Linked DNA regions of Xenopus tropicalis. Each later gene encodes a partner of the first gene's protein in a complex. Links are inferred from orthologs where the notes say so. Each region holds a gene or a part of one and is shown in the gene's direction. Other genes may lie near its edges.

The links. The genes of interacting proteins can lie anywhere in the genome.
Region 2: supt16h (region 1) and ssrp1 share a complex: the UniProt entries of both Homo sapiens proteins name them as parts of the FACT complex. The link is inferred for Xenopus tropicalis from reciprocal best matches to the Homo sapiens genes SUPT16H and SSRP1.

What each region holds. Positions count from the first base shown.
Region 1 is NC_030677.2:142,080,199-142,086,110, forward strand, and holds part of supt16h (FACT complex subunit SPT16), read left to right. Parts: intron 1-575; coding exon 576-688; intron 689-2,261; coding exon 2,262-2,337; intron 2,338-2,850; coding exon 2,851-3,020; intron 3,021-4,105; coding exon 4,106-4,235; intron 4,236-5,321; coding exon 5,322-5,451; intron 5,452-5,535; coding exon 5,536-5,613; intron 5,614-5,912. UniProt on the Homo sapiens protein: Component of the FACT complex, a general chromatin factor that acts to reorganize nucleosomes. The FACT complex is involved in multiple processes that require DNA as a template such as mRNA elongation, DNA replication and DNA repair.
Region 2 is NC_030683.2:56,094,182-56,100,093, reverse strand, and holds part of ssrp1 (FACT complex subunit SSRP1), read left to right. Parts: intron 1-3,443; coding exon 3,444-3,549; intron 3,550-5,688; coding exon 5,689-5,879; intron 5,880-5,912. UniProt on the Homo sapiens protein: Component of the FACT complex, a general chromatin factor that acts to reorganize nucleosomes. The FACT complex is involved in multiple processes that require DNA as a template such as mRNA elongation, DNA replication and DNA repair.

The sequences.
Region 1 (5,912 bases):
TTTTACCTAATGCTCTACACTGGTTTCATCTATTAAATTAGAGGGGTGGTTCCCAGAATGTGAAACTGTCCCCAAAAGGGCATTCCAGTGCAGAGGAAGCCCTGCTTTTGACACATTCTTATTACTGTCTAAAATTATGGTAGGGTGACTAATTGCAGCTTGTAATATGTGTCCAAACAAATGTTGGAAAGCTAAAGGAAACCTTTAAACTAAAGGGTTTAGAAGTTAGAAAAAATTAAAACAAAACCTTTTATCTGTTAGTCAGTCTGTATATGTCCAGATTTGGTTGAGTGGTTTGGTAGATTTTGACTTGCTCCCTGTCCGGCCAAATGGTCGGGCAGTACAATCAAACCAACTATTTAGTGATCCCGATCCTTGTGATTCAAGGATTGTCAGTCCCAATGGAAAATTTGCTGAAAATGAAAGAGGAGCAGCTCAGTTCAGCCAAAAGGCCAATCAGGGCTGCATAACGTATGAGTCAGTCTTTGTATGGCTGCTACCGTATAAGCTAAAGAAGTCTCCTTGAGACATTTGGGTCCACTACTTAAAATGAAACCCTTTTTTTTTCTTTACAGCTGGAAAGAGAGATGAGGCACAAGCTGAAAACGGCTTTCAAAAATTTTATTGAAAAGGTGGAATCTTTGACAAAGGAGGACTTGGAATTTGAGGTTCCCTTTAGAGACCTGGGGTAAGCATTGGCTCTTTGTTGTACTGTTGTGAAATATTGAGATACTGAAACCAGAAATAAGTTTTTTTTTTTTTTTTTTTTTTTTTTTTTTTATCTATGATAACATTGTCTTTGCATGCTACTTATATTTTGCTTTAAAAGTATTTTCCCGAAGCTTTTACATTACATGCGTGGTCCCCATGTTCCTCTATGAGGGGGCTGCCATATTTGTGCTGCAGGAGTCCATTAGCATTAGAAACTATAACTGACAGGCTGAGAAGGGACAGTCAGGTTGGCAAAACAGGTTTATGAACTTTTTACAGAAATTACTTACAAAAGCAGCCCTATCAGCAAAAAGTGTGACTATAGGTAACTTTAATATACATTAATATTTTAAAAAGTTGGTTTTTAGTGTCTCTATCACTTTTTTTTCCCCATGAACCACTGATGTGTATCTATACTTTTTTTGATATGTGCACTTCTGTTCTGTTATCTTGGAATTAAAATGGATTTAACTAATTTACCTCAATTCATTATTTGGTAGAATCGCATTTGGCTGCAGTTATAGCTGTAGTGTGTGTGGTGTAAGTGAATCCTAGTTTTACAGATCTGGATTCTGCAATTTTTGCCATTCTTGGCAAAATATAGTTAAGCTGTTCAGGTTGGAAGGAGAACAGCAAAGTTTGAGTTTTGTCACAAATAGGTTTAAGGTCTGGATTTGACTGGAACATTCTAAGCCATTAGTCTTGTTGGTCTTAAATCACTCCAGTATAGCTTTCACTGAGTCTGGCTAAAAGGTGAAGCTCCCTCCCAGTCTCAGGTCTCATGCTGACTGAAACAGGCTTTTTCTTTAGAATTTCCTTTTATTTGACTGCGTCTATCCAGAGCCAGGTAGGGTTTGGTAGTTTACAATTTAAATTTTGGTCTTATCCGAGCAGAGAACCTTTTGCCGTGCTTGCTGGTTTTCTTGCATGCCTTTTGGCAAACTCTGAAAGGATTTTCATATGGGTCTCTAATTGATGGCTTTTTGTTTGCACAGTTTAAAGCTGGTTACCATCAGCATTTGACTAGTTACCCTTTTACCTGGTCACCAAACCTTGGAGAGAGCTTTCTCTAGGCTGACTCACAGTTGTGCTATTGATTTAGTGGTGCTCCAGGAATTTTATTTTAGACCCTGCTATTTTCCAGAATTTATTCTGGATACTGACACATGATACTCCTTGGTCTTAATGATGCTGTTTTTTCAAATATGTGTTTACACTTTTAAATGCATAGTTGGACTTGAATTAATTTTGTGATGTCTGAAGGCAGTTAGTTGCTCAAAGCTTATTTAGGGGTTTTGTAAAGGAAGTGAATTCTAATGGAGTCTTAGATGCTTCCATTTATTTTTTAATAAACTTATGTAGACTTTGTATTCCACTATGGACTGTTTTACACCCTGGATTTAATGCAACAAAACGTAGAAAATACAAAGCATTACATACTTTTCAACTTTTCATGGATTGGTATACGTACAGTGACTAGGGAAAACCATAAACCTAAGATTAAAACTTTCAGGCAGTTTTGGGCTGAGTTTTATTTTTTTCCATAATAGGTTCAATGGAGCTCCATACAGAAGCACCTGCCTCCTTCAGCCCACCAGCAGTGCACTGGTAAACACCACAGAGTGGGTAAGTTTAATCTTCTATATATACTGTAGTAAGTCATTTTGAATGTTGTAGTTTAAGAGACATTTAACAGTCGTAATAGAAAACTTTTAAAAGAAGAATACCTCCCAGTATTTAAAAAACTGAAAGGAGGACAAAACAAACTGCTGTAGCTGTAAAAGTATAGGCCGCGCCAAATAAAAACAAATAAATCCTAACCCTAACTCACATCCTTTTCTTCCGAGTGTCCTGCTCTTTTATTGTTGAATTTTCATGCCTTTTTACCAGTTATATTCAACTCCCAGCCTTTCCCCCCTCTGTGGTTTTTAACATTTTTTTTTCTTATTTTAAGTGTTTAGATTCTTGAGAACTATCCATTTTTTTTCTTCAGTTATTGCATCTCAAACATAGTTGTGGTCAATTGATCATTTTTTTTCTAGATTGTTTGATGTATGGCTTAAGTGGTATATAGATATAGCCCAAGCACTTGGATAAATAGGTTACCATTTCTAACTGCTGATTTTTCTTTTCTCTCAGCCCCCATTTGTTGTTACGCTTGATGAGGTGGAGCTTGTACACTTTGAGAGAGTGCAATTTCATCTTAAAAACTTTGACATGGTTATTGTTTACAAAGAGTACGGCAAGAAAGTCACCATGATTAATGCAATCCCTGTGGCTTCACTTGACCCCATAAAAGAATGGCTTAAGTAAGTGTTTCATGGAATATGAAAGATGTAGTGCTGCTGTTAACACATTTTTCATGTATCTGTTAATCTGATTACACATGGTCCAGTAGTGGTTTATGTTGACTGTTACGTTCACACGCTATGCTCCAACAGCAGGTCTATTGGGATGTGGACAGCAGAGACTTCTCTGTGCAAAAGGACAGATAAATAATTGGGGTGCTGCTCTTGTGTGAAAGGCTGGTGATGCAAGGCATGGAACAACTGTATATGGACTGGGGGACATTTGGGCATTTTAATTTTATTTAGAAAACACTTAAATATACAGGGACACAAGAATTTTCTATTAAAATATCCCTTTTAATGTTTATCATACTGGAATATCTTTGCAACAAGTGACTTTTGAATACATGTCATTACTAGGTGTCTCTTACAGTAGTATAAAGCAAAGCAATAATAGGATGGTCAGGCAGCAAAGAGCCTCCATGTGCTGCTCCTGTCTTGGGTTGCTGCTTGATCAACCTGGAAATCAGTTCCTGTGTTTATTAGATTGATGCAAGCACCTTCGACATCTGCTTTATAAAATGATGTGTTTAATTTTTGCAGGTATTTTGGTTGAGAAAAGGCATGGGGGAAATTATGGCTGTGTACTATAAAAGAATAGAGCAGAACATTTGCTAGCTGAGCTTTAGTGCTTGGGGGACACACTTTAGTTTTTCAACTAGCCATAATCTTTACTTGAAAGATATATTGCTGTGGTGAGCAACTTATGTCATGATATACATAGACATGGTAGTGACGTCATTTCTGGTCACACAGGCAGGAAGTAAACATAGGGAGTGCACACGTGCTAGATCTGAGGGGAGTAAGGTCTATTGAAAATGGCAAATACTCCTAGGGGCATAAGAGAAAACCAGAGTGTGTTCTTCTCGCCATCTCCAATAGGAACCAGTCTCCAACATTATATTAAAGGTAATGAAAAAAAACAATAAATGTAATGGGGCATGGGGTTTAGAAAGGTTTTACTTGACCTTTAAGATACTGTGCTTATAACAGTTGTTAGTAACTTTACTTTTTGCAGTGTTCTCATTGAAAGCTTTCTTCTACAGCTCCTGTGACATTAAATATACTGAAGGAGTACAGTCACTAAACTGGACAAAAATTATGAAGACCATTGTAGATGACCCTGAAGGTTTCTTTGAACAAGGTGGTTGGTCATTTTTAGAGCCAGAAGGAGAGGTGAGTTTGGTGGTTGCATTTGTAATTGTAATTTATATTTTTGCATATGTAAAATAGTTTTTATTTATCCCAAGCAGATCTTTATTCTGGGCATACTGTATCTGTTCATTTTGCGAATATACTTTTTTTTTTTTTTTTTTGCCTTATTGGGGACAGGAGACAGGAATAATGAATTATATTTAGCTACCTATTTGCAGAAACAGGATTTAAAACTGAAGAAGGGTTTGGCTAAATTCTACCTCGTGTTGCCAGCTTAACCTTGCTTGCTAAGGGCAGCCTCCCTCTTTTTTTTTTTTTTTTTCTTTTTTTTTTCAGTTAGCAAATATGGCACACTTTAGTTTGGCAATGGTGGTGCCCAGGTACCATTCTTTTTTGCCAGCTTAAGGATATTGGCACACTGCATATATCTGCTTCTCAGCCCTTCGTGGGGTGGGGAGAAGCCTCCTCAGCAAAGGGCCACTTCCATAAACCCCCTTCGTTAGCACCCTAGGGCCAGGTACATTATTTGTTGTAATGCATGTTTCAGTAAGTTAACCTTACTAACCGCACTAATTATATTAAGTGATCCCTCTATTTAAAACTGTGTGTGCAGAAAAGTGAGTGGATTATGTGTTTTGATATAAACAAAAATTTGTGCACTCTACAATTTGTGTGCTGGACCCAAAACTTGTGCGTGCACAACTTATTTACAATAGTGGCTACATTATTCCTTATATATTTTTGGTTATTCATGGCTTTTGTGTATTAGGCATCTATGTGTACTGTGCTAGTTTCAGTGCTATAGTACAAACCCTATTTTGGGACCATACCAGAGGAGTTTTTCAACAAGCACCAGACATGCTGGTTTTGTGTTTAATTTTTTTTTCTTTAAAATGATAACTAGAATACAAATTTTGGTCTGTGCTCTTATTGCTTGATTGCATGATTACTATTGTAAGGTGATCATGTTGTTGATGAGATAAACGTATTTCTTATTTATTTTATAGCATCAGACCATGACCAATTGTGCTTTTTTTAACTGGAAATGTTTAACACTACATTTTTAGTTTATTAGTTTTTTCATTCATAATGTGTTTGTTTATACAGGGCAGTGGTGCAGAGGAAGGCGAATCAGAGTCTGAAATGGAAGATGAGACATTTAATCCTTCTGAGGATGAGTATGAAGAAGAGGAGGAGGACAGCGATGAGGATTACTCTGATGAGACAGAGGAGTCGGGTATGAAGGGTGGAAGTTTAAAGTTAATAATGAATAAGGAAGGGAATGGATGTTGGCACTATAATATACCATTTCTTTTAACAGTTGGCAGTGAAGAATCCCTGGGCACTGATGAGGAGAGTGGAAAGGACTGGGATGAACTAGAAGAGGAAGCCAGAAAAGGTTAGTAAACTCTACCATTTTCTGAGTTATTTGCCATTTAATGCCAGGTAGTAAAGTATTTTTCAGTTAATAAAGTTTACCTCTTTATTTTTCCTAAATTATGACAAAAAAATCTGTTATTTGCTTATTGTTGTCCTTTCCTTAAGTGTATTTGTACTTTTTACACCCTTTTGGTTGAATATGGGTGAGGATTGGCTCTAGATAACCAATGATTATTATTAAAGGAATGTATTTTCTCTGATAGCATTGTTATTTTTGTGGCATACCAGGCAATTAGATTGATGCAGTGCTCTTATGGA
Region 2 (5,912 bases), on another chromosome or scaffold:
TATTGGCGCATTCAAGAGATATTAAACTTGTATTTTTTGTGCATAACATAATTCATGTTTCTGATGTGTGTTTACATCATAAAAAATATTGTTTCTTCATTTTTTAGACATTTAAAGACGCCTTGTTACAGAAGTGGAATTACACAATTCTAGCATATTTTGAAAGCTTAGGTTGTCCTTAAAAAGACAATATATTGTTTTCCCAGGTAAACTACAAGAACCCTCTAGTAAAGGCCCCTAAAATGTGAGAGCGCAAAATGTTCAACAATGGTCTGGCAATATAAGTTCCACTTTGACCAAATCAGCTGCCAGTTTAAGGGTTAAAAGGCAGCTAAACCTCTTTCTTCATCTGACTTAGACTGTAGGCATAGCCTGCTTCAGGTAAGTATGAAACAAGGAAATTAAAAAAGAAACTAAAATATAACTGTGATTACTAGGCAGTAGATACGAATAAAATTACAGATGGTAAAGAGATAAAAAGCAACCCATATAACCAGGGCTGTGGAGTCGGTAGATAAATTCTCCGACTCCTCAGTTTCTGATACTTCCGACTCCAACTCCACGACTCCGACTCCTCTGTTTTTAATATAATGTATTTTATACATTCATACAGTCAATGAAAAGCATGCTTCATGGTCACAAAATTGCCTCTGACTCTGTGCAGTATCTCCAACATATCATTAGGTACCAAGATAAAACATTCCTCTGAACATTGTGATTCCCAGTGTGCAAAGGTTTAACTTAGTATATGACATTTAAATACATTAAAACCATATCTTGTGCATACTATTTATGACCTACATTTCAACTACTTCAAAAAACAAAAACATAGCATGTTTTATATGTGATAAAAGCTGCAAAAAAATTGTGCTGACACCTGAAAACCATACTTTTATGGGAAGTATACATTCTGGCGAATCCAAAATAGTTGAAAACAAGATTCGGGGAGCACTCACCGCCACAGACTCACATTCAAAGAGTCCCGTGCTATCACGTCCAGAAGACGCCCCCGATCCAGGCGTAATTCGATGCAGAGAAAAATTGTTGGTAGACGGAGCACGCCAGGACTACTTTTCAATAAAAAAATATATTCTTTATTCTGGTATCCATTAAAAACATGGTGATACACTACACCTCCAGCTTAGGAGGTGTAGTGTATCACCATGTTTTTAATGGATACCAGAATAAAGAATATATTTTTTTATTGAAAAGTAGTCCTGGCGTGCTCCGTCTACCAACAATTTTTCTCTGAATCCAAAATAGTTAAATGTTTCTCTACTCCAAACTGGCAAACTACAAAGCTTTGCTAAAGTTAGCGGTTTTAATAACATTTTAAAAATTCACATGTGAGCTTCCATTTTACAGCATGTTACCTCCTACCAAAAGAAAGATACCATTATATACCGCAATTAAACCTCCTAAAATTGAAAGCTAGGGTCTTCTAAGCAGCTTGATGCCCAGGGTGTGTTGGTTTACCTAAGGGCAATTTCACACATTTAACTTGCGCTATTTCTTCCATAAAAGGATAAAACATTCTAAACATGGACACCAGGGGGCACATTTATTAATCCACGAATCCCGAATGGGAAAAAATCGGATTGGAAACGAAAATTTAGCGATTTTTTTTTCGTGAAGGCGACAAAAAAAAAAAATCGCAAAATTACCGATCATGATGGGAAAAACGCATTCGGCCGCTTTTCGGATGTTCGTGAATTAGTAAATATACCCCCAGGAGTGTACTAAACAGCATGGGGACCCCAAATTAGACTAATGCACATGAATTTTCTTGGATGCCAATTCACCTTCTGTGAACATATCCTTCTGTTGTGTTGTAAGACCCCCTATCAGTATGAAAACCCTTGAAAACCATATATTTTTGGAAAGTACTGTCAAACTGCAAAAATATGCCAAAACATCACAAAAATCAAATACAATTAGGCAAATCAATGAAATAATGATATAACTGATCCAACAGCATGGTTAGTGGTGGTAAGAATGCCTGCTCCAGTAGTCACATTGTAAAATAAATAATTTTTAGGAGAAAACAAAAGAGAATGCTAAAATGAAGAACTAAAAAAAAAAAAGAAAAACAAAAAGGAACACCAAGAGCCCCAATAGTGTAATATATTTTTACAAGGAGTAATGATAGAGTAAACAAATTAAAACTCACAAGCCAGGGTTACCAATAGGCAACCACTGTATAAGTAGGTGGGGAGATTATCCTGACCCCACTCAGGAATAAGAAGTCACTCTCTGTAGAAGGAAGAAAAATGGGGTGGACAGAGGCTCCTGGTGTGTTTATACAAAGACACTGTTTTTTTTGCGCCTATTCTACATTGCCTGATGAAGCAGGAAATGCCTGTGAAACGCGTTGCAATATTGTTGTGAATAAACTATTACTGAAAATTACCACTTTTGTTGGTGTCTGCCTGGAGGAGGTAAGTTCACTACTACCTCCTCTGAATTACCCATTGGGTTTTTAAGTGTTTTTAGCTAATTTTATCTTTTTGGCGCCTCTGTTTTGTCTTATCATTAAAAAAAAAAAGAAGCTGTTTTTTAAGGCTCTAATAAGGATTAATTATATCTTAGTTGGGGTCAAGTACAAGGTACTGTTTTATTATTATCGAGAAAAAGGAAACCATTTTTAAAAATGTGAAATATTTGGTTATAATGGAGTCTATGGGAAATGGCCTTTCCGTAATTCGGAACGTTCTGGATAATGGGTGTCCAGATAAGGGGTCCGAAACCTGTACCTATGTTCTTGGCAGGAAAAGGTTTCAAATAGTAGGCTTCTTTGCAGATGCTAATTTGTGTGGCTGTGCAGAATACAAAAAATATAGTAAATTGTACCCCTTAAAGTTACAGAATTTATGTATTATGAGGGCCACACTTGGGATTACTATCATGCACCAATTAAGTTACCTAACACTTTTTATTTGAGGACTGCTGTTATTATGACAGCCATCAACCCTTGAAGTGTGTCCATGTCTGTAGGAGTAATAGGATACTACAGGCTCTTGCAGACTGTAATCACTGATGTCTGAAGATGGCCATAATATGTTATAGTTGCAATGCTTTTAAACGTTCAAAAATGAGCCAGTCTTAATAAGCAAAAGAAAGTTAATTCAGTGCTATGTTTTGGTATAATAACTTAATTGCAGCTCCTGAAATTGGTCCACTATTTTCAGTGGGTATCTGGATAGGATACACAGAAGGTCCCGGTGAGAGTTCCATGTTTGGCCTGGCTATATATACATCTGGTGAATAGGTTATTCAGCCAGAGTGTGATATTTAGATCACCTACACAAGTTTGCATGGAAAATATTTGAACACTCACCCTTTTAAGGGAATTAAACAATAACATTGTCTTATTTGCACTTTAGTTTCATTTATTGAATGTAATTTTTTTTAAAATTACTGTGTTTTTTTTCTTAATTTTCTAGGAGTATGACAAGCTGTTTGATTATTTCAAATCTCATTTTCGTGTGGAATTAGTAGAGAAGGATTTGTGTGTGAAAGGATGGAACTGGGGCAGTGTGAGATTTGGAGGTGAGTGTTAATTCTTGTGTCTCATTTTCATGCATGAATGAAATGCTAACCTATGATCACGCATGGAGAACTATTTTTGTTGTATTTATTTACAATTTAGGCAGGTCTTTTGACACTTAATAGGCCATTTGTAAGCTGCACTTTTTACGGCTATCAATTGTGTTTTTAATTTATGTTCCACTTGTGGTAAGGCAATGGTTAGTATAAAGATTAATTATAACATGATGCATTCTATGCCTGATACAAATACTTATATCCTTCTAGTGATCTTTTTAAAGAAGCAAAATAAAGGGTCCACGGTTGCCACACTGTTGTATGTTTATGTACAGAATTTTTGTACATTTTTTTTGTAGGGCTGTAGAATGATGGGTTTTGTGTTATATTAACCCTGTCCGCAGTACAGTGAGTGTCCGTATTGTTTTGTAGCCAATGATTGGTTAGTTGATTCTTGCTACGGGCAAGTATTTGGACTAGAAGCATTTTTCAGGGTTTTTTTCTTTACTGGGGAGGGAACGTGGGGTCTGCTTCTTCAGTAGCCACTGAAAGACTGCGTTCAGTTCTAGCAGAGGCACACACCCACTTGCCTGCAGGGAAGGGGGTGGGTTAGGATTCAGTGCGCGCCAGCTTTAAAACAAAAAATAAATAAATACATTTTATACTGAATGATAATGGATTATAACCATGACTAAAGCTAGTCCATGTAGAAATGGCCATATTTTCATTAGCTTGCATACATATAAAGTGTGACTACAATAGTTTTATGGGAATGTGCAAGTGGATGCCCTAAAGTTATTGTTTCACTACAACTTCCGGCATCACATGCCAGCTCATTTGGCATTTTTCAAATTGCTGAGCCTTTGTGCCGTTGCTCAGCAAATGTTTTTCTCATAAATAACTAAGAAATAAAGTTGATATGTAAAGTTTCGGACAATGAATGGTTGGACCACTCCTACTCCTCTCTGCTTAGAACACAATCTGCCTGTCAGAACTGAGCCAAGTTAAGCAGTTTCCCGTTCCTGATAGTTCCCCTTTGTTGTCCTATGGAGTGGTTCTGTTGCCTGCAATAGATCTTTGCTATCCCGTGCGACTAATCACTTTGAAATGCCTTTCCGTCGGCAACAGTAGGAACCACTGGTGCAGGCAACTTTGTGAAAACTTAGGAAAACAGAAGAGATACAGAAGGCTTTCCACCGGCGACATCTATTGTTGCCAATAGAAAGGCATTTCGGAGCGGTAAGTCACATGCTCTAGCAGAGATCTATCATGGCCGACTGTTAAACGCATGGGCTGAGCTTGAAATATTTTGCATTGTACCCATTTACTTTTTGCACTGCTCTTAGTAAGTAATTAGTCTCAAGGCATAGACCTCCCATTAATTTAGGTATTATACATAGAGTGTTTTGTTCGAGGAGGTTTGTTATTCCCAATTGATTTACTTATTTTAGTTTGAGTATACTAAACAGTATAAACACTGTCACTTGCAGAGTAGAGATAGTCACATCTGGCAGGTAACATTGAACACCAATGAAAAATGCGGGCACTCTATTCACACATATATATATGAATATTTAAATCTCCACTCACCGCTTCCTGAAAGCAAAGAAATTCAATCCATTCGGCACGCACTCATCAAGTCCCAGGACAGCGGGTAAAAAATTCCAAAAACCTTATTGAACAGAACCTAACGCGTTTCGTGTGTTCTCACGCGTATTCATAGGTACCTTCGGAACACCGAAATACCGCGTATATGTCGGGTGAAGACATATGGAGCTACTAGTAGCAGCTACTTGCAACTGCTACAGAAATAGACAATGCTGATCATTTGCTGTTAACTGTCTCTACATGTGTTTTACCAGAGGCATTTCTCAGTATTGTCTATGGCAGGGTATTTTATGGCATTTAGTAGCAGTGACAAATGGCTGCTACTAAGTAGCTCCATTTGTCTTCACCCTTAATCTCTCCTCGGAACATTAACCTAAAGCCAAATAAGGAGAAAAGGCACAGGTTTACTTTGCAAATAACAGAAGGAAGGTAAATGGGTAATTTCTACATTACATATACTACTGTTTATATTATTCTTAATTTTGAATTCTTCTTTTAAATAAAAACCCCCCATTTTAACATTTTTAACCCATCTAGGACAGCTGCTTTCGTTTGATATAGGAGATCAGCCAGCCTTTGAACTTCCACTTAGTAATGTTTCTCAGTGTACCACAGGGAAGAATGAGGTGACACTTGAATTTCATCAGAATGATGACTCTGAGGTCTCTCTCATGGAGATACGTTTCTATGTCCCTCCCACACAGGACGATGGAGGGGACCCTGTAGAGGTCAGTGTTAATTATTTCAGTGATCTAACATTC